Struthio camelus: one gene and its partner. The protein of the gene in region 2 binds, or shares a complex with, the protein of the main gene of each other region. Links are inferred from orthologs where the notes say so. Each region holds a gene or a part of one and is shown on either strand. Other genes may lie near its edges.

Region 1 (15,775 bases), on a different chromosome or scaffold from region 2:
TGGCGCCCAGCAGAGCCACTACCTGCCTCATGGTCCGTATAGGGCTCTCGCCAGAGCAGCCGGTGCTTCAGCTCGTCCTTGGGCGCGTACATGTAGCAGTTGAGCCCCCAGCGTCTCAGCCTGCGCAGCAAGGACACGGCATCAGGCCAGGCACCGCTCGCCCCTGCGCAGGGAGCCTTGCCCTGTGCACGTTCGAAGACTTAATCTCACCCAGTGCCCCCTGCGCTGAGCCCAATGATTTGTGCTTCAGCACCTCCAGAAAGACATTGCATCTGCACGGGAAAAGGCCCCGAGAAGAGCAGGACGCTGCCTCCCGGGAGGCGGGTTGTTAACAGCCCTGCGGCGCACAACGCCCTGGCGCCTGCACCAGCGTGATGCACAGGCCACAGCCACGGCCACGGCCACGGCCACCGCCACGGCCACCACCACCGCCACCGCCACCGCCGCGGCCCTGAGGAAGCTCTGTGCCGGCAGTGGGGCAGACCCCGCCGGCGAGCCTCAAGGAGCAGCTCCGGGACCTGCGCCGCTCTCCTGCACCCAGCCAACGCGGGCTCCAGCGCTGACCCTACAGCAGGGCCCAGGACTCGGCCAAGCGCAGCTTGTGGCATCAGAACTAACTCTGCTCTCACTGACGGCACCCACGTCCCTAGACAAGAAACCCACGAGCTGCCGGCACTGCTTATACAGTCGTCGGGGCACCCCTAAACCTGCAGGGGCGCCCAGCCAGCGCTGCTCCAGCCCCACGCCTGCTCCCCACACCTGGGGTCCCTGATCCAGCCCCACACCTGCTCCCACCACCCAGGTCCCTGATCCAGCCCCACCACTGCTCCCACCAGCCAGGGTCCTGATCCAGCCCCACCACTGCTCCCACCACCCACGGTCCCTGCTCCAACCCCACCGCTGCTCCCATCACCCAGGTCCCTGATCCAGCCCCACCACTGCTCCCACCACCCAGGGTCCCTGATCCAGCCCCACACCTGCTCCCACCACCCAGGGCCCCTGATCCAGCCCCACCACTGCTCCCACCACTCGGGTCCCTGATCCAGCCCCACCACTGCTCCCATCACCCAGGGTCCCTGATCCAGCCCCACCGCTGCTCCCATCACCCAGGTCCCTGATCCAGCCCCACCACTGCTCCCATCACCCGCGGTCCCTGATCCAGCCCCACGCCTGCTCTCACCACCCGCGGTCCCTGATCCAGCCCCACCACTGCTCCCATCACCCGCAGTCCCTGATCCAGCCCCATGTCTGATCCCATCACCCAGGGTCCCTGATCCAGCCCCACCGCTGCTCCCATCACCCAGGTCCCTGATCCAGCCCCACCACTGCTCCCATCACCCGCGGTCCCTGATCCAGCCCCACGCCTGCTCCCATCACCCGCGGTCCCTGATCCAGCCCCATGTCTGATCCCACCACCCGTGGTCCCTGATCCAGCCCCACCACTGCTCCCACCACCCAGGGTCCCTGATCCAGCCCCACTGCTGCTCCCACCACCCAGGGTCCCTGCTCCAACCCCACACCTGCTCCCATCACCCAGGTCCCTGATCCAGCCCCACACCTGCTCCCACCACCCGGGTCCCTGCTCCAACCCCACACCTGCTCCCACCACCCGGGTCCCTGATCCTGCCCCACGCCTGCTCCCATCACCCAGGTCCCTGATCCTGCCCCACGCCTGCTCCCACCACCCATGGTCCATCCTCTGCAATGCCCCTGGTATAGCAGCCTAAGAGAGCTCTGGGCAAATAACTGGGAAATGTCAGGCAGGACTAGGGCTATTCGGTGACCTCTGTGCTGGCTGAAAATGCTGACGCAGAGGTGGCCGTGGCGTGGGAAGGCCACTGATAAACTGGAGCACGTCCACCGAGGAATCACAAACACGAGACAGACGGCAAGCCTGGGAGCCAGGGGCTCTTGGAGCCAGTTCTCCTTCTCTCTCCAAGGGGATCCCCGGACCGTTCTCAGGCTGCAAGTGCTGAGGAGACGAGAAACGCCACGGCCTGACAGGCCGGCACAGCGGGATCCAGGGATGGTTTACAGGGACAGGTGAGGTACGGGGGGAAGCGCTCCAGACACGCCGCTGCCGCCGGAGCTGAAGGAGAGCACGTCCAGGAGCCATCAGGTCCCGGCTGTTTCAGGAGCTCAGACTACACCGTCATAACTGCCCTTCCTGGCCTTAAAAAGTATGAATTCCTTCCAAAATTTCCCCAGCTGTCCCAGACTCACTGCAAATTAACAGAACAGGGCAGACACCTCCCTAGGCAGCTCTTTTGGCTTGCCTGTGTGAAAGCCATCTGATTTATTCATTTATTTGTATTTATCCTTCTTAGTAGATGACGGTTTACATTTTCCCATGATGAACAACACTGGGAAGCACTTCATATACCGCATGACACAGGGGCCTCATCTTGGTTTGTTTCAGAGAAGAAAAATGCTGATGAATATACCATGCTTTTAGAATTGTGATTAACAGCTTTCCCACCCCAGTCCAGTACCAGGACATGACATCACTAGACCTTCTCATTCCCAAAACACTTTAAAACATCACATTTTGTTTCCCTTCATTGTCTCAGCTGCGTGTTTTCCCCAGCGTTTCTAACCTACTTTTTTCTATATCTGCATTTCTTGCCCCCACCATGGTTCTTACTTGCACTTGTGACTGCCCACACTGTCACCTTCACACGCTGCAACAGGCGTACTGCCAGTGCCGTCACCAGCACGCTGCCCGCACTGTCACCACTGCACTGCCCACATCACCACCAGCACACTGCCCACACCGTCACCACTGCACCGCCAATGCCATCACCACCGCACTGCCTGCACTGTCGCCACCGCACTGCCCACATCATCACCACCACACTGCCAGTGCCATCACTACTGCACTGCCCACACCGTCACCATTGCACTGCCCACACCGCCACCACCGCGCTGCCCGTGCTGTCACCCATGCACAGCCAGGCTGCGCGTGCCATGCTGCCCATGCTGGGTGCTCCACGAGGGGCCCCAGGGCCCCAGCCAGCCCTGGCAGGTCCAGCCAGTGCAGCTCATCACACCAGTGGCCGGCACATGAGCAATGGCCCCCAGGAGACCGCTGTTTCTCTCCTGCGCAGACCAACCCATCCTAATGTGACCCTCATAACCGGCCAGTAACAGACCCTGCTCACACCCCCCGTTGCAGGAACATGCGGGGGGACGCACAGGGACAGCGCCCCATGGCACGGGGATGCCAGCTGTGAGGAACGCAGCTGGGGAGGGACCTTGCAGCACGCCTGGACTAAAGGGGCCACCCGCAGCCACGAAGGAGCGATGTGGACGTGCTGCCGAGTTTGTTCTTGCAGCGATGACAGCCTGCAGCGCGGGAAGCCCTGAGGGCGCTCCTGCGTGACGCGCGGGCAGCCCAGGCGCGAGGCTCGGCAACGTACTGGCTGGCCGCCTGCACGCCCACGCGGACCGGCGCCAAGGCAACATCCCGGGGATCGACTTCCAGCATGCTAAACACCGACGTCTTCCTCCTCACGTGGATTTGAGTTCCCATTTGCAGCCCTCGACCCTCCTCCTGCTCCCTGGGACCCTGGCTGCACGTGGGCTGCTGCAGCCTGCTCCAGCCGCGCTGCCGTCTGGGCGGAGGAGCTTTCCTGGTGCCCCCAGAGGAGGCGCTCCCAGGGGCGCGCAGCCCCTGCGATCCTCTCCAAACCTTCCCCGCTGCCGTCCCTCCTGCCACAGCTCGGACAGCAGGATGCCAGCTGTCCCCCCAGCTCCCCGCGAGTTTGCACCCGCGCCATCGCGCAGCCCCCGGCCCACCTCTTCCAGAGCCCGTCCCCTTGGGCTGTCCGGCCGAGCACATCTGGCGGCAGCTGGGCCACGGCAGAGTCCCAGCACCACCTGCCGGGCACAAGCAGCATGGCCCGTCCGGCCCGTCCACCCCACGGCAGGGCCGCGCTCCAGAGCCCCAGGGCAGCGCCCCAGGGTGGCCCTGCAGGATCCTGGCCCTCGGCCACCGTGTCTCCAGCGTCCCGACCGCTCGGCCAGCTGGGGGACTCCCACCAGCGCGCACCCTTGCCGCTCCCGCGCTCACGGCCGCGCAGCAGAGGGGCTGGTGCGCGCGTCTGCCTTTCGCCTCGTCAGTCTCTCAGGGGCTAGTACCTCCAGGGGGCAAAACGAGGGGTACTTGCCATTGAAAGAGAAGTTTCCTCTGCTCCATAGACCACGGTCTCCCATAGAAACCTGCAAAAGGACAGGAAAAACAAGAACAAAAATGCACTTGTCAGTCACTCCCTTAAAAGAGCGTCTCTCTGTGCTGTCCCTAAATGCTGCTCTTAACCCAGAGGTCCCTCAGCTGTTTGCCTCCGGGTACTCCAAATGTCTGTTATCCTGCTGCGATCTTGCTGGACCACGATATGTGAGCGACTGGGTATAAGATGTCTGTACTGCCATCCTTCATAGAGAGAAGCAACTGTAAAAAGCTGCATGAGGGGCCCTTAGCTTGGGAGGGGGAATTTACACAGCAAGATCCAAGCGCAGAGGAGATTGCTGCAGGCTGGCTGGACTCAAAGCCCCTCCAGCGTGGTCTTGGGTGCACCGAAGCAGGGAGCTACGGCCACTCTAGAGCTTCCTGCCCGGGGATTTTCTTCATTCCAGAGACCAGCTCTGTGGTTCTTCTGGGTCATCTGCGCATCTCGCAGCGCCTGTGTAGCGTCAAGCAGTGTCAGTGTTCCTGCATGGGTTGTAAAAGCTGCTCCTCTGTCTTTAACCACTGCAGAAACTCAAACTGCACCAAGACTGCACTCATACAGCTCTTGCCTACACTCTGCAGCAGGGCAAGTCTTCGAAACAGCATCCCCACCCCATGGCAAGCTGTTCAGGTAAGGAACGTGCAAACACCTGGCAGGGATTTCCATGAATGCTGGGACAGTGATTGCTACCCGATCCCTCACAGAGGCCTTGTCTGGCCCCCACTGGATAGCACCAAAGCCTTGCAGAGGGAAGGGCCACTGGAGGGAGGCACCTGGGGAGCAATCTTAGGGCTATCTGCTGGCAAGGACATTCATTAATGAGCGCCGAGGCTGGCCAGAAGGACGTTGTCCTTCCAGAAGGTTGTTCAGCAAAACTGAATGCAGGAAATACAGATCTGGAGTCAGCAAATTCCCTAGCGTTTCTTAGCATTTCTGCTTCTGCTGCTTGCAGGCTCGGGAGGTTGTCAGGCACCAGTGTCCGACACAGGGTTGTGGCTGCAGCGCTGCAAGCTGATCATCTGCCCTGGGTGCCCTCCTGCCAGCCAGAGCAGCAGGGAATGGGGCTGTGGTGGGAATGGCACGTCTCGTCTGCTCCTCACCCTCCTCCAACACTTGAGCCTTGCTATGCACCAAGCATGTCCATCCTCAGCTCTCCACTTAGGCTGGAGGAGCTTCTTTAGATGCTAGTTCACCTGGGGACAATGCGGGAATAGGCAGGTAAAGGAGTCTGGAGAGCTGCAAATTTGACTGCTTCTTGAAGAGAGGTTAAGGAGAACCTGTAAGTGTTCAAGCATAGATTTGAAATTTAGCAAGGCAGGGACCTTCAGCCTCATGGTCAAGTCACGGCAAGACCTGGCGGCTGCAATTAGAAGCCTCACAGAAAATGCATTATGTCTTGAACAGTGATGGCAATTAGCCATCAGGGCAGCTTCCCAGTTTCAGATGGGCTCTGCGTCATGGGCAGCTTTTAACTCAGACAATGCACTTGCCTATCAGATGAGAACAACAAGAGCAGAGATTCAATAAGTGAATGCATTTGCTGGGCTGGGCCGGGCTGCGCACAAGGGCAGATCACAATGACTCTGCTAGTCTGGCAGAAAGGGCCAGCTCTTGGCACCTGGCATGAGGCCAGCATCGCCCAGGAACAAGCTTTCCCCAAAGCACTTGAGCGCAGTAGAGCCACTCTACCTGGGAAGGTCCCTTTGGCAGGAGCCCATCTTGCAGCCCTCAGCACTAACCCTGGGCCATAAGGATGGGGTGGCTTGTGCTACAGCACACACTGAGTGTTTGCTGCAGAGAGATGTTTTACCTTCTTGAACATTCACAAGCATACTCCATCTACTTTGAAACGATATATATTTGCTCTGCTAGTCCTATGCATGGGGTCAAATATGTGGCCACTCAGGGATCCCAGAAAACATCTCACTCAAAGTATTTCTATAGGAAATGGATTTTCCATTTCCCAATCCTTGGGAACTCCTGTTCAGCTCACGATGAGGTCCCAGCAGTCCCCATACAGCACCTGCCTGCAAGGGCCACGCTCACACTTTGTTGTGAGCTGACACTGTCTTGAAAGTATGAGATTCGCCTCGTAGCATGGCCCTGCCAGCAGCAGCCCTGGTGGAGGTGCCGTCCCTAGCCCACTCAGAAAACTGGCTTAAACTGTGCCAGCAAAATCCTGCCTGTGCCCGTGGCTGCATCTCCAAAGCGGTGATGCTGAATCACTGCTTCCTTAAAAACAGACAAGCACTGATGAGTGAGGCTGTTTGCTCTCCCAAGGTCCAGATCACTGTATCAGTGAACATCATTGCCTGCCGACCTCTGGGCGAGCTAGGATGTGCCTGGCTGGAAAGCATCCTCCCAAGACCCTGCCAGCTCCCCTGTCTTGCGTGGTCACCCAGATGTTCTGGCCCATCCAGGCTCTCTGCTGCTGGTGATGTCTCGGCTACCAGGAGGGAGCAGGGGCATCTGGGCAGGACACTCCCGGTCTGCCCGGGCCTGGACGCAGCTGTGCCCTGCTCAGCAGCCTGCCCACCATAGCACCACTGTGCACACCCTGCCAGACCCTGTGCTACTGGGATCACGGATGCCTTTCTTTCCTCACTCTCCAGAAACCTCCTCCTCCTCCCTGAAGAGGAGGTCTCTTTCCCAGGTCAGCTTTCCCATACCAATGATTCTTGTCTGATTCAAATTTCTTTTTACTATCAACTTCCCTATTCTCCCACTTTCTCTTTGATTTGTATTTACTTGTATGGTACAGGGCTGCCAGGAAAGATGGAAGTGCTTTTGCCCAGTGGGTGCCAGGCCCGGCCCAGCTCCAGAGGTGCTGTGCTGCAAGGACTGGGGCTGAGCCACACCGAGCAGCCCTCTGAGAGCAGGATTGGCCCAGGCAGCACCGAGCACAGCCAGGGCAGCGCCGCGCTGGGGGTATGGAGGCAGTGGGAGCACACACAGGGATGTTACCTCCGTGCCCAGGGCAGAGAAAGAGGCACTGTCCAGTGCTGGAGCCAGAGCAGCCGGTGCCCATGCCCTGGTGCAAGGCGGCTGCTGCTTGGACGGCTAGGGAACAGCTGGGGGAGTTTCAGGGACCCGGGCCAGTCTCCCATCCCGGGCGGGGACGGGGCGCCGGGCAGGGACCCAGGCCGGTCCCCCATCCCGGGCGGGGACGGGGCACCGGGCAGGGACCCGGGCCGCTGCCTCCCCGATGCCCGGGGCCCCAGGCACTACGTCTCAGAGCCAGTCTCCCGTCCCGTCCCAGTGCTGTCCGGGCAGAGGGACCAGCCCCGACCCCGACCCCGGCCCCGGCCCCGGCGGCACCTACCTTCCACCACGCCGCAGAGGAAGCGCGGCCGCTCCGCCATGCCCGCGGGCCGGAGCGGCGGAGCCCGGTGCTCGGGCGGGCGGAGGGAGGGAGGGAGGGACGAGGGAAGGCACGGATGCGCGCAGCGATGCGCGGGGGTGAGCGGAGGGATGCGCGGGGGGCCCGGAGGGACGGGCCGGGCGCGGAGGGATGCGCGCAGCGGTGCGCGGAGGGATGCGCGGAGGGACGGGCCGGGGGCGCAGCGGTGCGCGGGGGGCCCGGAGGGACGGGCCGGGCGCGGCCCCCCGCCCGCCCCCGCGGGGACGCGCCGCCGCAGCGCGGGGGGCGGCCCCGGCGGGCGGGGCCCGGTGGGCGGGCCGGGGCTCGGCTGTGTCACCGACCGGAGCGGACGCGGAGCCAGGTGGGCGCACGGTAGCGGCGTGTGGGGAACACGTCGCCTGTGCACGATAAACATGTTACTAGCACGCCGTGCCAGCTCACACGCACTGCTGTGCCAGGTGTCACCACTGCACAATACCCTGTGCCGTCTCACCAGTGTGCGGTGGCACGCACACGTGCACACGCCCACACACATGCACACGCACGCACACACGTTACCAGTGCACCCTTTACGGGTGCTGGGCAGGTACACACACGCACACACACATGCACACACACTACCACTGTGCGGGACCCGGTGTGCACACGTTACCAGCGCGCAGCACACGCGCACGCTAGCGGTACCTGGTGCGCGCGTTACCGGTGTGCCATACAGACCCACACACACGTTCCTGGTGCGTGGCAGGAACGAGCGCCCACAGCTGACTGGTGTGCAGGCGTGGCGTGCACAAGTTACCGTGCGTGGTAGGCACGCACACTGCTATAAGGGGCCCCAGGCCTTCACCAGAGTCAGAGTCAGGCTTCTCTACGAGCGTTTATTTCAGCTTGAGCTGGGTGCCTCCGAAGAGGGACCCAGAACAAAGAAATTCTGGGATACCTATACTCCTTACAGCCTGATTTCCCCGCCTGCCAGCGACAGTCTCTTCCAATCTTCTTTACGGAGTCGCTGGTCTCTGTTCGCTGGTTCGTGTCCACGTCCCAGGACGGCTGCTGTGTTCCCGCTTCGCGGTGCCTTACCTTATGGGAGGTTCACGGCTGCCTCTGCCCCTCGGGTGCTGTGCCTCTGGGGGCTGGTTCGAGCCGCCCCGCACTTGTGTCAGCAGTAGCCCACAGGTTCGGGTAAAGTTCAAGCTTAGGCCTGCAGGCTGCGCTACTCCAAGCACCGAGGCTAAGTTTAATCAAGGCTATGCCAATGGAAATAATGGTAGTTTTCTTACACACATGCATGCGTGTGAGCGCACACACGCGCACACACACACACACACACACACACACACACACACACACACACACACACACAGATGTGTGCACACACATATGCACACACACATATACAGATGTGCGCGCACACAAACATATGCATGCACACATACAGATGTGCACACACAAACACGCTCATATACACACATACAGATGTGCACACACACGCACTCATATACAGATGTGCACGCACATATGCATGCACACATATATAGATGTGCGCGCACACACACAAACACATGCATGCACACATATACACACATACAGATGTGCACACAAACATATGCATGCACACATATACAGATGTGTGTGCACACACACACACAAACATATGCATGCACACATATACAGATGTGTGCACACACACACACACACACAAACATATGCATGCACACGTATACACACACACAGATGTGCGCGCACACGCGCACACACCTCCACCCACCCACCCCCCGGCGCGCGCGCACCCGGCTGCGGTGGGGCATGGCCCGCCCTCTGGCCCCGCCCTCCCCGCCCTGGCCCCGCCCCCAGCCCTGCCCCCCCCCCCCCTCCCCGCCCTGGCCCCGCCCGCGGCCCTGGCCCGGCGCGGCGCGGGGCGGCGGAAGCGGGCGGCCGGCATGGACCCGCCGGCCAAGGAGGGGCCGCTCTTCGTGCAGCAGAGCCACAAGTTCGGCGCCAAGGTGGGGCCGGGGCCGGGCGGCTCGGCTCGGCCCGGCTCGGCTCGGCCCGGCCCGGCGGGCTCGGCTCGGCCCGGCTCGGCTCGGCTCGGCTCGGCCCGGCCCGCTCCCTGCCGCCGGCCCGCCCGCGATTGGGGAAGTCGGGCCGGGGCCGCTGGGGCCCGGGCTCCGCCGCCGGTGGCCGCTGCCCTCCCGCGGGGCCGGCGGAGGTGCGGGCCGGGCCGGGACCAAGCCGGGGGGGCTGGTCCGGGGGGGGTCGAGCCGGGGGGGGGGCTGGGGCTGGAGGGGGTCGAGCCGGTGGGGTCGGGGCAGGAGGGGGCCGGGGCCAGGGGGCCATGTCTGGAGCCGGGGGGGGTCGAGCCGGGGGGTGTTGAGCCAGGGGGGCCGGGGCTGGAGGGGGCCGGGCCGGGGGGGTCGGGGCCGGAGGGGGCCGGGCCGGGGGGGTCGGGGCCGGGGCTGGAGGGGGCCGGGCCGGGGGGGTCGGGGCCGGAGGGGGCCGGGCCGGGCCGGGGGGGGGGTCGGGGCTGGAGGGGGCCGGGCCGGGGGGGGGTCGGGGCTCGGGGCTGGGGGGGGGCCGGGCCGGGGGGGTCAGGGTCGCCCGGGGGCTGCCCAGCCCGGCCGTGACCCGCCGCCCCGCAGCGCTGGAAGAAGAACTGGTTCGTGCTGTACCCGGCGAGCCAGCACGGCGTCGCCCGCCTTGAGTTCTTCGACTGCAAGGACCCGGCCGGCGCCCCCGAGAAGCTCAGCACCAAGCGGCTGGACAAGAAGATCGTGCGGCTGGCCGACTGCGTGAGCGTGGCCCCCGCCGGCGAGAGCGGCCCCCGCCACGGCACCGCCGCCTTCTGCCTGGAGACCAGCGACAGGAGCTACCTCTTCGCGGCCGACAAGCAGCAGAGCGAGGAGTGGGTGGCCAAGCTGTGCGAGATCGCCTTCCCGGTGAGCGCGGGGCCGGCAGCGGCGGGGGCATCCCAGGTCCTGCAGCCGGAGCCCGGCCGCGGTTCGCCTCCGTGGGGGCACCGGTGGCCCCGCAGGGCCCCGGGGAGGTCTGCGCGGGGCAGGCCGGGGCATGGGGGCGTGCGGGAGGGAGGGAGGAGGCTGCACAGCTCCTCGCTTCGCAGCCGCGGCAGCCTGGCTGCGCCCGGCGCGGGGAGCCTGGTCCCGGGAGCTCGGCTGCGGGACACCGGGTCGCTCCGCGTAGCTCCTGGCCGTGCTGGTAACGGGACTCGCGTGGTAACGGGACTCCTCAGCCTGTCCTCGGGTAGCTTCTTGCTTGCGCTCACGCTTCGAGGACTGGCTCTTTTCCCTCTGCCTAGAGCCTTGCGCCCCTCCGTGGACCCCGGCTTGCGTTGGCCTGATCGCTGCCTGCCGTTCCCGCCGCTGGAGGGGCGGAAACAACGCCACGGAGAGCCCTGCGTGTGCAGCTGGCACCAGGAGCCAAACCTGCAGCCAGCTGCAGTGCTGACTGTCGCCCCTCCGCCGGTTCTTGGGGCTCGCCCCTTTTTGGAGCCAGGGTGCCCCCTGTCAGTGCCAGGCCTGCGGCGGAGCCCTCTGTGCCTGGGCCCTGAGGGAGCTCAGCCAGCCCCGCTGGGGAGCGCGGTCAGCTCTGCAGCTCCTCCCTAGAGCAGTTGTGGCCAGCGAGTGTAGCAGCTTGCCTGCCCGCACCTCACACCGCAGCTGCCTGAGACGCCTCCGTGGGAAGGCAGAGTTTGCAGAGCAGCAAGTGCGGCCATCCCCGCTGCCCTGCAGGGCCTCCCGCGCTCGCCCGGCCCCTCTGGGTCCGCCGTCTCTCCTCTGCCAGACGAGATGCCTGCAAGGCTCTGGGTAGAGTTCTTGCTGATTGCAGCTTTGTGAGCGCTGGTCAGGGCTGCCCCGTATGATGACTGGTTGTGAAGCTGGCAATCCTGGGACCTTCCCACGAGGACGCACATGTTTGCTGAGCATGACTTATCTTAAGCCGTTTTTTGTCCCTGCTTGCCTCTCCCTGCAGCCTGCTGTCAAATCACATGTGTTTGCGCAGTGAGCGCCTGCTGGTCAGGCCAAGGAGCACAGGTATGGCACTGGGAATCGTTCCTTGTCTGTGCCAAAGTCCATTTTGTGCGGTGTTGCTGCCTTTTCCCTGGAAAGGGCCTGTGGGGCTGAGCCGGGAACACACAGGAGCGCCTTCACAGAGTGATGTGGGGCAGTGGCAGGGCAGGGGAACAGCTGCTTGGAGCAGGAAGGTGCTCACGCTGTCCCTTACACGGTAGCTGTTAGCCGGATGCTTGTGCTCATGAAGCACACTGACAGCTTGGGAAGAGGTTAGCAAAGTGCTGCGAGGATGGCATGTGTTTTAGAAAGGTCTGGCCTGCAGCAAGAGGCGCAGGAGCTGCGCCTGATCTCTCTGCAAGGAGCTGGTTGTGATTTTTGATCCTCTATATTGGGAGCATGATTTCGTTTGAGATCAGTTGCAGTTCAGGTTGGAATTTCTTTTCCTTCTGAAGATTAGGGCTCCTTTGGGCTGTGCTTTCCCTCAAGGGCTCTGGCAGACTTGCTAGCTGTTGACTTCCTGATCCCAGGCTAGAGCCCTTCCTGCGTAAGATGCTTTAGCTGAACAGGAGCCCTCAGGTCTAGGCTGCTAGGTTTCAGCAGTCCCCAGTCTGACGAGGAGGCAAATGAGAGGGTCTGTAGGGCCTTACCTCCTGTTAAGAAGCCCACGTGACCAGTTTTGAACTGAAACTGTGACGATTTGCCTTCTACAAGACACATATTCTGCTGCAACCCCATCCCACGTGCTTTGACACTGAGAAACGTTTTTCAGCTCCTGACTAAATACAGACCCTCATGCAACCGTGCAAAACCTGCTGAAGCTGCGCCTGCAGGGCACCTGTGAGCCTTTGATTTGCATGGGGCTTCCCTGGAGGGGGTTCTTTGCTCTTCTGTGGTAGCGCGGGGGGTGCACCCCGTGCGCAAGCCCTTGGGAGACCCTGCTGCAGAGGGGCGCTGGCTCGGACGACCAGAGTGTATGCGTTGCACTTTCAGTTCTGCATGCGCTAAATGTAGAAGTGCTTGCTTCCCTTCTGCGGGCTGTGCGCAGTGACACTGGCACCGTCTTCCTGCCCGTGCAGAAGCCAGACGCAGAGACCCTCGCGTTACTGGGTCACCTCGCGCGCCCCCCTTGTCTGCGCTGTTGGGAGAGTGCAGCTGGGCCTGCGCGGCGCTTTGAGTGCTGATCTTGCCTGTGTTGGAGCATATCCGTGAGGAAGCAGAGCTGTTCTCTGTGTCGGCACCAGGACATCCGGGTGGCTGAGGCCCTGCCAGAGCGGGTCAGATGAGCAGCTGCAGTGGGGCATGTTGGATCACTGGCTGCTGCAGCCAGAGGAAGTTGCGTGTCAGGGCCAGCTTGCGTCCGTGCCCCGCAGGGCCTGCTGCGCTGGAGCCCAGGGTCCAGTGGAAGGGCTGCTGGGGGCAACTGCTCCTCTCCATGCATTGGGCTGGGTGGGCCTGGGGTCCTGCTGGAAGTCCCAGGGATGCCCCTCAGGCACAGCCAGACCCTGTGTCTGTCCACGGGTCCTGCTGGTTCTGGGCAGGTGTGGAGTCTGTCCCGAGCTGTGGGCTGGGAAGGGCTTGATGCATCTGGAGAGCAGCCAGGCCATGGAGTGGGCAGAGGTGGGCCCCACGGGAGGATGGCTGGCCGCTGGGCCAGGCCGCAGGGCCATGAGTGCTGGCCACGGGGGGCGAGTGGAGTCACGGTGTAGCAACTGGCTGCATGGGGCCCTGGGGGGCCCGCGTGGGACAAGAGAGGCTCAGGCTTATCTGCTCTTCCTTGGCAGGGAAACGGCCCCAGTGATGGTGGTGTGGCAGCCCGGCGCGGCAGAGAGGGCGATGGGGAGGCGCCAGCCTTGGAGATGGCCGTGAACTCCATCTACTACTCACGGGAGGAGGGTAGGGCTTGCTGCTGTGCTGGGCTCGGGCACCCTTCCCCAGGCCCATGTCCTTGCATTGTCCTCGTGCCAGTGGCCTGGGAGACCGGGCTAGGCCTTGCCTGGAGCTGGGAATGGGGTTTCGTCTGCATCCCCTGATCACCCCTGTCCCCACAGCGAACACCTTCTGGGTGACAGTGCAGCGGACGGAGGCTGCGGAGCGCTGCGAGTTGCGTGGTGCCTACGTGCTCAAGGCTGAGCGTGACAGCCTCATCCTGAAGGACCCACAGACGAAGGAGACCCTCTACGTCTGGCCCTATCGGCTACTTCGGAGATATGGCCGAGACAAGGTGAGTTGGGGACCTGCATGCCATGGGCTGAGGCCCATTAATTACTCTGCAGACTTTCCATGGCTGAAGGGCAATGAACTGATGTGCCAGAATCTGCCTGTGGCAGCCGTGCAGCGGGCCCTGCCACGTGCTGGAGCTGCTGCAGTCCTTGGTGACTGCAGAAAGGGCAGCTTTGTTCCCCAGCGGCATCTGTGATCCTCAGCCTGTCCCCAGCTGCCAGCCTGTGATGGTGGGTGTCCCTGTGACGCTGTGCAGGAGTGTGGGCTAGCAGGATGCCTGTTCCTGCTGAGGGCATGCTGCGCAAAGCCCTTTTGCGTGTGGTTCTTGCCCCGCTCTCGTTGGGACTGTTCCAGCCTCTGCCAGATGCCCCTGCAGCTGGCTTGTCCCCTATTTTCCTCTCTCAGTGATCCCCACCCTGGGCCAGCAGCACACACACCCTGCTCCTGCACTCTGCAGGGCTGTCCCAGCCTGCAGGGAGCTTGGCTCTTTACAGCCCTGGCTCCGCGTGCACCTTCTTCTGCCCTGGCTGCAATCTGTCTCTCCTAAAGGACAGTGATGTGAGCAGGTTTGGCTGTTTGAGACCTCCATTACTCTAGATTTGTTTGCCGTTCCGGATGTGCTGCTCTGAGCTTGGCTGACCTACGCAGGCCTGTCCCCTCCCCAACATCCTTCAGCAAAGAATCCCCCAATCCTCATGCTGCTACCCTGAGTGCGAGAGGCACCTGCCCCGCAGGCTGTGCTGCATGCAAAGGAAGTGGTCTCCCCAGGGCTGTTTATAGAAGCAGCAGTGTCAGCTGCAGCCTCCTCGTGGTGCTTTCTGCTGCACTTTATGAGAACAGAAATGGAAACTGTCTGAGCAACTCTTGGGGAGGCATCGGGCCTGTCTGCAGGGCCTGTGCTGGGGGCAGGAGCAGAGCCATGTGGTGTGAGGAGCATGCGCAACAACTGCACTTGCAGTGGCAGCTTGGCTGAGCTTGTGTTAGGAGCGTTCAGACCTGGACCAACTGGGGCCAAGGTGTACTTGAGTCCTGCTGTGGTTCACAGAGTGACTGAAGTTGGAAGGGACCTTTAGGCATCGTCCCTGCTCAAGCAGGGTCACCTAGAGCACGTTGCCCAGTAGCCTGTCCAGACGGCTTATGAATATCTCCGAGGATGGAGACTCCACAACCTCTCTGGGCAACCTGTGCCAGTGCTCAGACACCCTCACAGTGAAGTTTTTCCTCATGTTCAGGCAGAACGTTCTGTGTTCCAATTTGTGCCCATTGCCTCTTGTAGAGGTTGCTGTGGAAGGAAGGAAGGAAAGGAAGCTGTGTCTTGGCTTTATTAGGAGCATTTCGGAGCAAGCGAGGCTGCTGCACGTGAGATTTTCTCCCTTACTAGTGCTCTCACCTGGATTCAGGAACTGAGGTTCAGGAAGGGTCTTGCCATCTGCACGCGAGAACCTGCACGTGGGTGTGTGTTCAGGGCCTAAGAAACACAGTCTTGCTGCGAATCTTCTCTTTAAAATACTCTATACCGTTAACAGAATAATGCTTGTAAGGCAAATGCTTTGTTCATTGGCTATTAGTAGCCAAGCTGCTGCTTCTGGCCTTTCCCCATGAAAAGCCCTGTTCCTCTGTCTTATATCTCTTATCTCTGGATTGCTTCCCTTCTTCCTGACTAATGCTGACTTACCCTTCCGCTCATAATATTTTCTCCTGCAGTACTGTTACTCACCTTGTCACCCTGCTTTCTCTCCAGCGCCAACTGCATATTATTTCCTAGGCTATCTAGTATCAGCTGCTGACCCTGCTGGAAGAGTTCAGGTAAGGCAGCCAATGTGCAGCAGGACCTGCAGCTCTGGGCCTGGAGCATCTCGCAGTGATGCCCCCTCCAGTGTGTCTCACTCCTGTTTCACAGCTTGCTCTAGGCTGCTGGGCAGCGCAGCCTCTCCCTGTGC
Region 2 (15,611 bases):
TAGATTTAATTCTATTATCTGAGTGAAATTTGTCTCGCTTAGAAGAAACCCATAATGGACACTAAAAAAACCACCCATTACAGCAACACAAGCAACTTTGTTATATCAGTTAAATATAATGTTTAATTAGTTTTCTAAATACATGCACTGAAAAGCCATTAGACAACCATTAGGCATAATATATCCATTTTCTTTTTACAATCACCTGATTTAGTTTGCCAGATTCCTAAAGTAATTCAGTCAAACAACATTTCTGGCACTATTATCTCAGTAAAGTTTCTAATTCCCTTTTTTGATTGGGATCACTGCAATCTCCCCTTAAGCTTTCAAGTGCTGCTGATCATTTTCATTTCAGTAGATTTACATAGCATCTCTTTCAGGTAAAAAGGGCATCTGGTATACTTATGGTCCCATTTCAAGATCCAGAAATCTGAAACTACTCAACTATTATTTTGAAATGATCATTAGGAAAAATAGTTTTGTGTTCTCTTCATGTGGGGAAAAAAGATAAAACATCTGAAGAATAAGATGGTTCTAGATACCTTCAAGGTCCTTTTAAAAAACTGAGTTCTAAAAAGAGCAATAACCATCCGGCTATTCATGCCTCACCTGACTTATTTTCATTAACAAAAGCTTTCTTAATAACATTATTAATTGGCAACCTTCTCTATGTGAGAACTTGTCAAAAGGCTCTCAACGCAGTGAATTCTCTGCACTGTTGCAGAAGCAGCAAACAGATCTCGCTGACGAGGGACAAAATCTCATTGTACAAAGCCTCCTAACAGATTTTATTCTACAGCTACCTAGAGCTTCTCTGATGCTCTGTTTTTTTCTTGATGCATGTGGTGCACCCTAGAAATTCTGTAAAGTTTTTCAGTACGTTTTTCCCCCACTTTGCCACAGGGTTATGTTATATACAACCAACATTACATATGACATGCAAAGGAGATTATTACTACTAATAGTAGTACTCTACAGGAGAGAGATTTAAGACAGAATGAGTCAGCCAACAACTCTGTAGCACAGCTGTTAACTAAACCTGAATACTGGTCTACCCAATCTAATATGCAAACCTCAGATCCATCCATCTCATACTGTAATGACTTTTATCTAAAGAAGTTTATCTGGAAAACAAACAACAACTGTTAGAAAAGTTTACTTTGAATAAAGAAAGCAAAAGGAGCTAGGAACAGTTCCCAACACTGCACCATGAATGTGCCTCAGTCTTAAAACAGTGCGCTCTTAAAACAGTGCGCTCTTAACATACACCTTGCTCACTTCAGGGAATCACTGTCTATGTCAAAATAGGTATTGCGATATTACTAATATAAATGCTTGCACCCAAAAAGCAACGTCGGACAATTTGTTACATTTAAAATCCAGAGACAATTGCAGTCAATCACCAGTTGGTATCACTCTCAGTTCTGGTGCCAGAAAATCGAAGGATGCCAACATATGAATAGAGCAAACCTGCTGTTCACTGTGGACAGACTCTAAATGGCCTTTACACAAAAAGGCTCTGGGAAACACTGAGCTCCTACATCATGGATTTTTTCCAACCCATAACATGTCTGTATTTGCTAGTTCACATCATGGTGGAGACAGTAGGCCCATGAGAAGTGGGAATTACAAATTCTTACTTACAGGTTATTTTTGTCCATTAATACACGCCCCTTAAATACACTGCATGCACAACACAGTTAAGTTGCCAAATGAGGTACTGTGGAGAGGGTTACTGACTATTTGGTTTCTCCAAAACCAGCTACCTCAGTTCAAACCCTAAAAAAACTAGAACTAGCACCTGTCTCCTTACCAACCGGAGCGCAGGTGCCAAGAATGCAAACGCATCACTGAACAAACAAGTCTTTTCCCTCCTTCAGGGGCCAAAGTGGGAGAGAGAGGGAGAAACAGAGAGTAAACAATGTACAAGTTTCCTCACTGTGTCTATTGTTTCAGTAACAAGAAGAATTTAACAGACTATAATATGATAAACAGAAGGAAAACTGAATGCTGCCTTGCTACTGAATGCACATCTAAGAATGCAGGTGCTGAACCAACACCGTCATATGAACTGACTGCTTGTGTTAATGTTTCAAGAAGCTATGGGAAAAAAAGAAAAAAACCACCAAAAAGTGGGAAAGAAAGGTAATTGAACATAACACAAAATATGGATCCTATTAGCATATTGTTGCTGTTTAAAAATAAACAAACCAACCCCTCCCCCCAACAGTCACATAATTTCGTTATGAAATGGAAAAGACTGCAGTTTATGAACTTCAGTGCAGAAGCTGATTTGCAGAAGAACTGGAAGGCGAAGGAGCTGGGAACAGGAAGAGAGTAGGGACAGACACTAAGGCTAGAGGACACAGGGGGCCCAGCCAGCTTCCCCTGAAATTAGCAGGAATGCTGGGATTAACCCTGCAACCAATTCTGCACAGGTGGAGCATCGATTTCCCAGTCCATATTCGCAGAAGCTGGTGACTTTAGCAAGGGGAAGCACTAAGACCACTAGTGGGTTCTTTGGTGTCCATGAAAGAGCCGGGGTAGTTGCTGTAGTTGCTGTGCCTAGAGGCAGATAAAAATAACAGAGTACGAAAGAGTCAGTGTCCTATTAATCCTCTTTTTCCTAATAAGAAAGGTGGGGTTTGAAATTTTCTCATGATTTCCATACCCTCCCCAAATAAGACATGCAAGACTTGACTTAATGAAGTGCCTCACAGTTTTTTTTCTCTCCACAGATTCCATTTTCTCTTGGCCTACAGTCAGGGTTACAATTTAAACAAATTAAAATAGAAATCACATATTGTCTGACCAGATCACTGCCAAAATGACAGGCACACAGACAAATTTATATCCCTCTTTAGCCTGATCCTCGACTCAACTCAATGGCCTGCACTCGATCACCTGATCTGATTAGCACTGTTTTGCTCTAAAGATGTTAATGCCCCGGTAACCTTTTTAGAAAGAATCATACAGGTGTTTCTCCTATGGAAAACACCTTTTCCTATGATGAAATACAAATATACACAAAATATAGAAACTTTGGGGAGAAGAATGTCACAGTTGCACAGTTGGTTTTCTAAAGTCTGTCCTTGCTCTGAATGCACGAGTTGAGCCTGAACTACTTCTAAGTTGAAATCAGTCAAAATAGAATATTAGCAATAACCCCAGCAGCAGGAAACTGCACTGTAAGAACTGATCCAGTACAGTGCCTAAATGAATACGAAAACAAACGCATTCATCACTTTTTCATATCACAGTCAATAAAATAACAAAATATTTGAAATGGCTTATATATAAGAGCATTTTTGTTAAAGTTATTTCCATATAGAAGCATATTTTCCTTCCACTTTTACAAGTTACGCATACACTGCAATTCTTATAAATTATTTTACTCATTGACAATACTTTACCACTTAGAAAGTATTTCCTTTAATAATAAAAATTACTTTCCAGACAACGCCATCCTACTAAGTCACTACAGTCCTACAGCCACTCTTTTCTGTACTTAACTGAACAAGGTCCTTTTCTCACATCAATATGAGCTTTCAGAAATGAACGAAAACTCTGGTGCAGAACAGCCACGCAGTGCATTGTGCAAATAAACACCCTGAAGCCCTACAACTGAAAACATGTAAGCTTTTGAAAAACACAGGTCTACACTCCATAAATAAATATCTCCATTTCTTTTAACTGATGCTGAAAGACACAGAAGTCCTAACTTGAGGAAAAACATTCCTTTTATTTTCTTTATTTCTGGGTAGTCACATGCTAATATCATTGCCTGCAGGAGACTTATGCATTGCTTATGATGCAAAAGCAGCAAGGGTCCAGCCGTCGTGTTTCAGAACAAACGGTCCAGTGTGCTTTTTGAAACTGGCCAAAACAGAACCAGATCTAACCCTTTCAACTAACAGCATGCTCACCAGATTGTATTTTACCAATCTCGTCCAAGTTAGAGAAATCTTCAGTTTAATCATGAGGATGTGTTTTAAGAACTACTGCAATGTTAGGCTTTCAAAAAATTCCCACGGTCAGATAAACCAAAGACGTACTAACAGGAACCGAGTGCGGTGGGAGGTGGGAACCCTGCACGACAAGGTTTTGCATGGGTGAGAGATTTCTTCATACCCCCCAGTGAGAGCACGACAGAGCTACCGCTGCAGGATCTTTAGCTTTCCCTTCTGGGATGGAGTCCACTAAAGTTTCACTGTGTTCCTCCCCCCGCCGGAGACTCATACCATCACATGGGAGACAGTTCAGTTTCTAAAGGGGAACTCCATGCACTTAGGGATTTTGTCAATACCTCCAAGACATAACGATTCATCTTAACCCCTGTTGTCAACTCAGATTATATTACATAAATAGGAACTAGCGTCACACATCTAAACGACGTGAAACAGCGCTTCTCTCCAGCAATAGACACCCATACGACATTGCTAACATGCTAGACTTCTTGAAATAACTATGAATGCAATTACCTTAAAGTGTGATCTTTTGTGTGTATAACTTTTCTTCCCCATAATTTCAGTAAAAATTAAAGAGCATCAAATATTAAGCCTCACCAGTCAAAACTTGGGCAAACAAAATTAATATCTGCAATTATAAGTATAAATAAATGGTATACAAGTCCTAGCTGGTAGCCTATCATACTCAGATAAATTAACTCCTACAACATCCCTTTCCAAGCTATGGACAAATCCAGGAGTTAACAATTTATGGCCATATTTAATAATAAATATACTGATTTCACATAACTTTTCCCAGCTGCTTAGGGTTGATACTCAAAGAAGAAAACAGATAAAATGGGGAAGAGAAACGGAGAGAAGTGGGTTGTCTCTCTCTCCCCCCAACTCGAACTTTCAGAGTACAATTCATATCAGGCAGTTATACAAGTGAAAGTAAAATCAAGTAACAGTCCCACTGAAAGGGAAGAATTGAGGGGGGAAAAAAAGAACTGTAGAAGAAAGCAGCTCAGCACATCAGTTATGTTGAATACATACTATATTCTGGTCCATCACCAAATGAACAGTAGCAAGTTTACCTGTCCAGCTTAAACTGAAATCACAGAAGACCATTTTCAAGCAGATGCATGTGACCCGTTTTGGCTAAAACAAACATACCCCTCAAATTGAAGAGCTTAGCTAAATCAGATTTCTACTAATTCTGCCAAAAATATTAAAGAAAATAGATTTGCCATAAATACAAAGGTAAAAGTAAAGTAGATATGAAAGATCATCCATTAGTAATACAAGTATGGCTAATTCTTCCTGACAATGAACTGGTGTGTGATATAACCCTCTCTATTTGTTTATTTTAATGACTTACTAGATTCCACATATTTTTTCCCCAGACACCCTAGGTTTGGGTACTAGCAAGTTTTTATGAGGATCTGAAGGCCCTAACAGTAATGTATTACGGACAAAAGGAATAAGAGCAACTTAAAGTACTTTAACATAGTAAAGAAAAAATGAAGTAAAAACAGAGGTTTTAGAATCTTTCTGAGCTACTGACAGTAGCGTAAGATGGTGCGACCTACTACAAGTAATCTGCAGTGATAATGAGGAGCAAGTTGTTGCACATTTTACAGAGAATCACAAGTACTGAATTAATATTGCACTTCACTCTTACATCAACCAGCAGTCTACTTACTAGGCTGTTTTGGGGCTCACTTTTCTTCATAAATGCATTTTGGTGAATATGTAGAGTTGCGCTACGTTCTCTAGCGAACAACAACTTTGATTTATTCATGTAAACATCAGAAATGTGTTGGCAAACATAGCCATATGGAAGAGAAAGAGATATAATGGATTTTCTGTTTGCTTTAGAAACTTGACATCTGTGGATAGCATCGTCTAACTTACGATCCAATAACTTTTCATCTTTTGGTCATTTTCATTCATCAATCTAAGCCAAATTTAATTTGATGACACAAAAAGCTCGGGGGGGGGGGAGGGGAACACAGCAGAGAGGGAATAATCTTTTAGAAACTTAAAATAGGAACACGCTTAAAAATTATTCTCTTTCACCTCATAAATTTAAAGAACAAGGAAATTCACATCTGTTCTAACTTAGCTTTAGAGCTTGAAAAGCAAAGAAAAAGTATTGGGGTTATTTATACCATGTTTATATTTCGGAAGAGATCTTCCGATCCTGACCAGCCGCCGCGGCACCGATAACGTGCCCCGCAGCAGGCTGCGGGGCTGGCCCGGCGGCGCTTACCTCCGCACAGCAGGAGCAGCCCCGCCGTCCGCCCCGCGACGGGCATCGTCCCCCGCTCCGCGCTGCCGGGCCGGCGCCGGGCGCGCCCCGCCGGCTCCCGCAGGCCGGCTCCCGCCGCCGTGTGCCCCGCTCTCCTCGGCCGTGTCCTGCGGCTCCTCAGGCGGGCCGGCCCATGGCCGGGGAGCTGCCGCGGAGCGCCGCGCCGGGGCGACCGGGCTGGGCCACCTCCCGGCCCCGACACCGGCTGCCTTGGGCCGGGCGAGAGCGCGCTGCTCTTGGGGCTGCCTGCGCCCCGCGGACTCTGCAGGAAGAAACCCAAATCAAAGGGGAAGCGCCGCTCCGGTGCGGCCGCGCCTGGCGTCAAGCCCCGAGCGTGCTGCCCGGGGCGGCGGCACCGCCCGGCCCTGGGCCGGCCCCAGTCCCTCCCCCGGCCGGGGCGGGACGGGGCGGGGCTGCGCGGCGCGGCGCGGCTCGGCTCGGCGCAGCGCGGAGGGGCCGCCGGTCCGCGCTGCCGGTCCCTTGCCGCCCCGCCCGGAGGGAGCGAGGGAGGGAAGGAGGGGGCGCGGCGGCGGCGGGGGCTGCGGCAGCGCCGCCCCGAGCATCCCGCGGGCCGGCGGCGGCGGGCGAGGTGAGGGGGCGCCGGGCCGGGGGCTGCGGAGCGGGGAACCGCGGGTGATGCCTCCCGGTGCGCACCTCCCGCGTCCTCCCCCCTGCCTCCGCACCGGAGTTAGCCGCGTGCGGAGACGGGCCGGGAAGGCAGAGAGGTGTGCCCGGCGGGCGCGGAGCGGGAGGAGGAGGAGGAGGAAGACACACGAGCAGCACAAACGCTCCAGGTGCGAGACAAAGCAGGGACAGGCGCTGCGGCGCTAGGATGCCCCCGAGTGCCCCCCCCCAACACATTAAACATGTTGAATAATTAATCCTTAGGAGAGGAGACAATTTTTGCTTGATGGTAGGAGAATGCTGTAAGAGATGATCTCTACCTGGCAAGGCACCAAAGTAACCCGGAATGCAAGGCATCGCGCTGAGGAGCGAAACACCACTTTTAAACCGCAAGCAAAGGGGAGAACAAAAATACTCTTTAACAACAGGTCCGCCTCGCTGAGGAAAGCGGTCCGAAAAAGCTGCTGCCAACAAACACCGCCCAAAGCATTCGGGGCTCAGTGCCGTGAGCCGCGGCTGGACCTGCCGCCGTCCGGCACGGCCGCGGCCGCCCGCGGCGCCGGCCCGGGCTCCGCTCCCCTGCGCGGCCCCCGCGCTCCCAGCAGCTGCTCCACCGTCCGCGTCCCCGCCAGCAGGGCCGGCTCGGCCAAGCCCCGCTCCGCGCCCGCGCAGCCCTGCCTCGCCCCGCCACCGGCCCCAGCCCCGGCGAGGCCCGGAGCGAGCTCCTCGGGGCGGCACAAGCCCCGCAGCACGCTGCCGCCCCGAGCCCCACCCTCCCTACAGCTTTCGGCCAAAGGAAAACCTTTCGTTGCACCTCTCCTCCCACTATCAGTGGGGAGTTACGTTTACAGGTCATTTCGACCTGCTGAAAAGAATACTTTCTTCACCCCAAGCTGATGTTGCCTCGTCACCGTGATGCTGTTTGGGAGATCTGGGCATCAGGACTTAGACATAGATCAGCAACTAAAGACCTGATCTTTCCCAACCTTCAGACTTTGCAATGCTCAAGCAAGAGCAAACAGAAGGCTTTCCAACCCTTCTGGCCATTTGAACGAGACATACGCAGCAGAATGATGCTCAGTGTAAAATGTAATGTCACCTGCTATGGACTACTTTAAATACTAATCAAATAGGACATTCTAGTTTCTCTCTTAGCCCCGTGTATAAGGATTCTACTCAAGATACCCAACACTACACGATGCGACAATACACAAAATTACCCTACAGAGCCGATAAAAGTACTAACTTACTCTTAACTTTTCTGTTAGACCTCCATCAAGCATGCCTATGTTCTTAATCAGTCATGGGAAAACAGTAAGCCAAATGCAAGCACATAAAGGGGTAATAATGAATTTGAGATGGACAGTAGCAACCCTCATAAATTAATTGCATTTGAAGCTACCTGAGAGCATAAATTAAACTTCTGAGTACTTTCTCACGTGCCTAAGTCTTTGTGGGGCTTTTATAGATGCCCGATAGAGGGAACTAAGAAGCATATGTGGGATGTCTCCATAAGGCAAGGGAAAGGCTAGAGCAAAGAAAGCAACATACAAAACATTAACATTAAATCAATGCTTTGTGGAGCAATGTCTTATGTTAAATCGAGCTTTATCTTAAATCATATTTAAAAGCTCACACTGTATACAAATCAATATTGATGCCATCTAAAATACAGCACTATCATCTGCACTGATAAATGTCAGTTTCCATCCAGGACAAAGTGACTTCTTGGAAGAATTTCAAGGACTTCCAATCTCTTCTGGCATCTCAGCAACTGAAGCCAAAGCTGTACTCCTCTGCCAGCTTCAGGCTCTGTTCCAGCGCATTAAACCTGGTTCTAGATGCCATTGTGTTAGTCGCACAAGGAGAATAAATGAGGTCACCACAATCATTTTGTCATTGATTTCCAGGCTTTTAGGTTAAGCAGGTTTATATGCTCTTAGAGGATCATACCTTACACACGACACATGTGGGAAGAAGTTACCATCTTAGATAAGAAAGGGACCGAATATTAACATCTGCAGTATTCCAGCCAGTGCAATCATCACACTAATGCCAGTGGAGCCTTCATGGAGCCATTCTGCCTCACGGTCTCCAATGTGCTCCAAGCCTTCACCAAGAAAAGCTGATGGTGTATTGAAGAAATGTAGTTTGGTCTAGAAACACAGCCTACCGTCAGCAAGACTGAAATAACCCAACTGCTGCATCTCATGAAATGCAGCAGTAGCCTATCAAAATGCAGGTATTTGATTTATTCCTCAGAATTCAAACTTCAGCGGAAAAGAATACAAAACAGAACAGTTCCTGCCCGGCCCCGTTTCCACACCCACAAAGAAGCCCAACACAGACTGTGAAGACTCTGCCCTCGAGTTTAGTAGAGGAACACAAGCCTCCTGACAACTCTCTCCTTCTAGCAGCTAACCTTTGCTCAGATAGGCATAACATGCACATTCATGTCATTTACTTGGTTTCTTTGTCTGAAGGCTTTTTGAAAACTGATGTGAAAACCAGCACTATTAAGCAGGGAATAAAGAACTAGGTGCCCTTGATTTTCCCGACAACCTCAAGCTCTGTAATCTGTCTCCCATCACTCTCCTAGCAAAATACTCTGGAAATAAATTGGCACTTTCCTGCAGGCTGGTGCAATTGTGAAACTATAGCTCATACTCATTTATTTCTGCTTTGCTTTGAGTCATTCATTTGGCACTGCAGACTGAGCTATTAAATTATTGTATTTTTTTCCTTTATAAAGGCACCCTGAGATGTCCTCATATGATAATGTTCCCTGAATCGCATATTATTTGATAACTGTTTCTTAGTTTTTTCATCAGAGATCTTAGGTCATGCTCAGTTAGCACTGAGGCAAGACACGTGAGGAGTGTTCCACCTTTCCATGTTGTCAGAACATTCATAAATGAACAATGAGAAATATTTTTATAGAAAGTCCTCCTAGAACGTTGTGATTGAAACCTCATTCTTGACAGGTTCAGGACTTAAGAATTTGTCCTGAACCTTAAGGTTATTTGTTGTAGAGTCTCAGAAATCTGAAGTAATATTGCTTATCACTTTAGAAAAAATGAGTTAAAAAAGACCCACAGTTAACTTAGTAACACTTCATTCTACTTTGTGATCAAATTGTCAAGTCTTTCATACAGTTACATCTAGGACTGCACTGAATAGATATTCTTTCCAAGGTAGATGCTAATGGTAAAGGGACAGGTCATATTTTGATCCTGACAATCACAAATGATTTATCTGCATGGCAGACTTGATTCAAGCTATTGTTTACAGGTTTGTAAGACATATGGGTTTTATTTCCTATTCTTCTACCCGATACCTTCTTCTCTGCTTGTTATGTACAGCTACCGTTTAAACTGTCCAGCAATCCACAGCACCTATTTCATTTTGGCCCTGCTTAAATCACTGAAAGAGCATAAGAATAGCATGTTTTCCTAGAGCGCTCATCCGAAAGTGCTATTACCTGGTCAGAAAGCCTTGTTATCATAAGAAAGCAGCGCACCAATTCTGAGCGATCTTCTACATCACAGCACCTGGAGAAGGAACGAAGAAGATGTTTCTTTCACATTAGGAGAAAATAAAAACCAAATCTGCCTGTTGTGGAGAAAGAATGGCAGCAGCTGCCTGGATCTCAAGAATTTTAAGCAAGGGGCTCAACATTGTCCTATACGTAGCTTTCCTGGCAAACCAAGAGTCTTGTGAAAACTGTGAGAAAGGACTGGCAAAAGCAGTGGAGATGTTGTGACAGGGAAAGCAGAATAACAGATCATGGGCCTGGGTAGACCAGGAAGAGCCAAAATCCTTTGGAGACCTGACAGAGCGATCCCTTCTGTGCTCCAGGCTGCCACTGGGACCGAATGTAAACCTCTGGCACTGACAATGCACACCAGCCACATGCGATACAACCCACAAGCCATGATGTGCAAGTTGCAGAGCACCCAGTGGAGCTATGCCGTTGGCTTTCCATCACCACAGGAATATCCCCAGGCTAGTATCAGAGAGAGCAGCCATGCTGATGACTAACGATTATCTCATTTGCACAGACAATTTTTTTTGCTTGGAACCACACTACAAAATAATCTCAACAGTTGCAACTCGCAGGCACCTTGGCATCAAGGCTCAATATTCATTCTGTTACTCAAGAGGCATTAATTTCCCTGAGGTATTAACAGGCATTAATATGATAAATCTCTCCACATCAGTATGATCTGTAAAGTTCTTCCTAACTTGGAAGACCAGATTTTTCTAGCTTTTAAACAAACATTTTGAATCTGCCTGGAAACATTATGAACACACGCATGCAGGTTCACACCCCCCCCATCAGAATTTGAGTGGTAGGGGGTAGATATTTTTCCAGAAGTTACAGTACAACTATTTAGAGAAATGTATTGAAATTGGCAGCTGATAAATTAAAACCAGCTAACAAAATATAAAACATCCTTTGTTGACTTCTCCATGTCCATTGCCAGTAGATAATATACTATAATGATAGTAATGTTAAAAAGATTATTTTCATCCTTGGTTCTTAGAATTTGGTGTTGCATATAATAGCTCACCTGAGACTTAAGAAACCTGGATTCCTTACTCATTCATAAAGGATTTACAGCTCAAGCTATCACCAAGGCAAGCCTCCTGCTCACCGCCCAGCTGAAGTATCCCCATAGTGAGCTGGGGGAGGTGAACGTGTTAGAGAATGATTCTGTTCAGCGTACACTCAGGTCTGCCCACCATGTGTCACAACTCACCAGAACCTTTTCTGAAGTGTATACATGACCCTAAAAAATACTGCATTATCAACGCTAACAAAAAATGATAACAGCCAAACAGAGCTGTGATACTTCCTTAAATGCCCAGCAAATATTTGTGAATCTCAGCTTTCATTATATTTCTTCCTTAAACAGTACATTCGGTTGCAGAGAAGTTGACAGTGAAGTGGAAAACATGATCACAGCATACCCTAGGGGTTTCAAACATGTAAAAAAAAATCTAAGAAGTTTCAAATGTGGTAAGTTTTAATACACAAAAATATAGGGAAACCAACTCAAAACATATAAATGCTTGGGGTTCAATATGAAACATAATTCAATTAACCTGACAAAACCGTGTTATCTCCATTGAGCAGTATAAAATCTGAGTTGTTTTAAGTTCAACAATGAAGCCCTGAAATCTTTTCAGCTTTACCTTTGCCACATCGCTACTGGGAAGAGGCCTCACTCTCCTTGCACAGATGTCTGTGTACACAGGAACTAAGAGAGCCTTCCCAGCCATGGGAAGGCTGCGCTTCTTCCAGGCAATTTCTGCAGCCCACAGTACGATTTGTTACATGCCATGGTGCCATTGGCAGCATCGTCCACAGCCACAGAGGGGGTTCTGCCAGAGTCAGCAGTCTTCAGTCCTTATAGAATATGAAGGTGAGAACCAGGTGGTTAGAAAAGCATGGTCGCTGCTGGCCCACCGCCCTACAGAGCTCCCATACAGATAGGAACCCAAAAACCCATAGCAGAGTTTCTACAGTGCGCAGGTCCAAGGCAGGTAACGTTCCTGTTGGAGCAATTCCTCCATCATCATCCCATTTCAATCCTCCCCATTGTCCTGCTTACCATCCAACAGAGCAGAGGAACTGAACTGATGTGGCCCTTCCCAAAAACTTCTCTCTGACCTTGCTGGTGCTTAAGGTAGCTAAGGTCTGTTGTGGTGTAGGATACTTACATGCGAAACCAGATTTACAAACCAGACATGAACTCTCAAATCTTTCTGTCCTCCACCAAAGTCGTCACTGGTAGCAAAAGCATTAGACCTTGATACCCCAATGAATGATCTAGTCCCAGAAGTAATCACAGCAAAGTGCCTACATCTCATTTGTGACACAACAGCTTTATGGTAATAGCAGGCAAGTTCTTCAGCTGATGTACACTTTCACAGGTTCAGAATGGAGCTATGACAACTTATAATACCTGGGGATTTGCTCCTATAGCATAAGGGGAAACAGTGACCTGATTGTTTTTAGTGTCCTAAATTATCAAGTTGAATTCTGACAGGGAAGAGCTGACAAACTCGTGATCATTATTCAGTTATGAACATAAGCATGAAAGCACACTAAGGTTAATGAAGAGAAGATCACATTCAGTAGAATAAAAATTAATTTGGTCACTATAGGAATTAGTATAAAAATATCAGATTCAGGACTTACAAGGGACTTCACCCTTAAGTTAACCTGTATTGGGTTAAATGATCTACATAACCTGATTTACATTCAGCACCATATGTTACAAAATTGTAATGATTTGAGATCAGGAAATATGATCCTAGGCTAGTTTAAGAGATCTGCATTCACACTAAAACGTATCTTTAAATATATGGTACTATGGTCGTAAAAGAAAGCACTCAGATAGTCAGGGCACGCATCTTCATTCACGCCATGGTTTATAGAGTCACATTGGCCCCTGCATTCTATCGATCTAACAGGATATGTTTTTCTATTACACATATACACACTCTCTGCATTTAAAGAACATCACATTAAAAATGAAATCAAGAGCTTGCCTGTGAGGAAATGTGAGAAGGGAGTCTGGCCTATACATTTTTTATTTGGTCACTAATATGCCTTTTAAGTCTTATTCAGAAACAGTTAGAAGTCAGTGTCAGCAGTATTATTGGAGCGTGTAGATTCCTGGGGTCCAGGAATCAACAGTTTAACCAGTAATGATTTAAATAACACACCTGCAACTAATATAAGCCTCTGCTCTGTTCATCCTGTGCATTGAGTAAGGCTAGAGTCCTGTAAATGCAAGAATATGCAATAGCACATACTCTCAAATACGCTGCACAAAGGAGATGAATTCACATTGAAAATGTAAACTTTAGGTTTACTTAATTTGGTGTGCTTAATATTATAATACTGTCTCTGAATATAAACTTTTCCAGTACGTCATTTCCTAAAATCTTTTTTAAATCAAATTTCAGAAATGCATCATATGGAGCCACAGAGTACTGCATAAGTTGCCACAGAAGTTTAAATGGCTGAAAACAGCCATTGCAAAAGAAAATTGCAGTCTGTTAGACCAGTTACTATAGGTAGATAGGATATATTACACTTATACAAGATGCCAAGCACATGGGTATAGCTTGTTTTTTCTAAAAGAACGAACAAGCAAAATATCACCATGTGGCAGTGACTGATGAGACAGGAACTAAGCACGACACAAACTTGTGGTCTGTTTTAAGGTGGGCCAAAAGATTCATGCTTGCCCTTTACCTTTGGAATTTGATCATAATATGAGCTTTAGAAGGACCAGAAAGTTCTCAAAATCATTATGACCAATAAAAGGAGATGCGGATGCCAAGTCATGGCCAGCCCAGTAGAGATTCACCCTGAGACAAGAGGTCCCTGACCTTCCAACATCCTGCAAAGCCTTTGTAGGCTTTGTAGGGCCGAGAGCACATTATGGACAAATGGAGCATTCTGGGATTTTAGCAGAAAGTCTTCAGAGGTTTACACAAGCAGATGGGGGTTGACTTTCTTGGACATGGGAAAAATCCAGCCCTCTTTTCCCCAAGCTCCCTATTCAAACTGTCAGAGTCACTACAGCTTTTCAAGGAGTATAAACTGAAAGTGCATTTCCCACGATTTCTTTCAAAAAATACATGTTTACTTATGTACTAGCACAAAACATAGTATAAATTATATTTTGGGGGGAGGAGACTACGCACAACTGTAACAGAGACCCTATCTAGCACTAGGCTCCAGCTGCAGCTGCTGCAATACAAATAGCAACAACAGTGCAATGTAACTTTAAACTTCTATCCCTTCCTATTATACACATACTAGAAAAATATTATAAAATTATAAATGACTTTTTGTCTTGGAATTACAACCGGAATTTAGTTACTAACAACAGTTTACTATTTATTCTGTTATTTGTTTTCAGATAGAAGGAAGTATTTCTGTTTCAGTGGCTATGCCTACCTTTGCACACATAATGTGTAATTCAGAAATAATGTAAAACTTAAGAAGTTCATTTCTACTATTCCTCTGTGCCTTGACTTCCATGAACTTAAAGAGTAGGAATCAGAGCCCAGGGGAGAAAGAAAAGAGGATGCCTAAAGCAGATAACTAAAAGTAGGTTACTGTTGTATTCTCAATTTATGCATATTACAAGATGAGATGACAGTCATGTATGCCTCCTATCATCAATGGCAATGCAGTTTATTTTTTAAGTTGCATAGTCAGTTCAGCTAGTTAAATTCTGTTGCTATTTGGGCTGTACAGCTTCCTGTATTTTAGCTCAGTGAAACTTGTCTTGCTTGGAATTTCTCTGAAGCTGTATAAATAGAGAAAACAGTTTCTTGTTTCTAACTAGCAACCACTTGGTAACTCAAAGTAATTCAACACTGCTGTTTCCGTTTTGTTAGCAGGTACAGTAACATTCAACTAAAACTAAGAGCTCAGTAAATCCAAACTCAGCACTTTCTGAAGACTTTCTGCTAAAATCCCAGAGTGGTCCGTAATGTGTTCTCGGCTCTACAGAGCCTTAGGGCCATGCAGGATGTTAGAGGGTCGAGGACTTCTCGTCTCAGGGTGAATCTCTCCTGGGCTGCCCATGCAAGTGGTGTTTGATGATGGGTAGTAGTTGTGGAGCAGGCACACCCGCTTACTCTTAAAAGAGAACATTTTGGAATACTGACTATTGCCCTCCAGAATCCAATAA

The links.
Region 1: the proteins of RET (region 2) and DOK1 are in contact, whole or in part, in a crystal structure (PDB 1UEF), measured with the Mus musculus proteins. The link is inferred for Struthio camelus from reciprocal best matches to the Homo sapiens genes RET and DOK1. Residues at the interface, in NP_033076.2 of Mus musculus: Thr1056, Trp1057, Ile1058, Glu1059, Asn1060, Leu1062, Tyr1063; in NP_034200.4 of Mus musculus: Tyr203, Thr204, Leu205, Leu206, Arg207, Arg208, Tyr209, Gly210, Arg211, Asp212, Ser217, Phe218, Glu219, Gly221, Arg222, Arg223, Thr230, Phe242, Glu246, Ile249, Gln252.

What each region holds. Positions count from the first base shown.
Region 1 is NC_090945.1:87,722,795-87,738,569, forward strand, and holds the start of DOK1 (docking protein 1), read left to right. Parts: upstream 1-9,472; 5' UTR 9,473-9,527; coding exon 9,528-9,590; intron 9,591-10,226; coding exon 10,227-10,523; intron 10,524-13,396; coding exon 13,397-13,508; intron 13,509-13,663; coding exon 13,664-13,836; intron 13,837-15,775. Other genes in the region: protein O-GlcNAcase-like, read right to left, coding at 23-120, 4,170-4,221, 7,552-7,591. UniProt on the Homo sapiens protein: DOK proteins are enzymatically inert adaptor or scaffolding proteins. They provide a docking platform for the assembly of multimolecular signaling complexes. DOK1 appears to be a negative regulator of the insulin signaling pathway.
Region 2 is NC_090948.1:30,689,726-30,705,336, reverse strand, and holds the start of RET (proto-oncogene tyrosine-protein kinase receptor Ret), read right to left. Parts: upstream 6,288-15,611; 5' UTR 6,269-6,287; coding exon 6,223-6,268; intron 1-6,222. UniProt on the Homo sapiens protein: Receptor tyrosine-protein kinase involved in numerous cellular mechanisms including cell proliferation, neuronal navigation, cell migration, and cell differentiation in response to glia cell line-derived growth family factors (GDNF, NRTN, ARTN, PSPN and GDF15).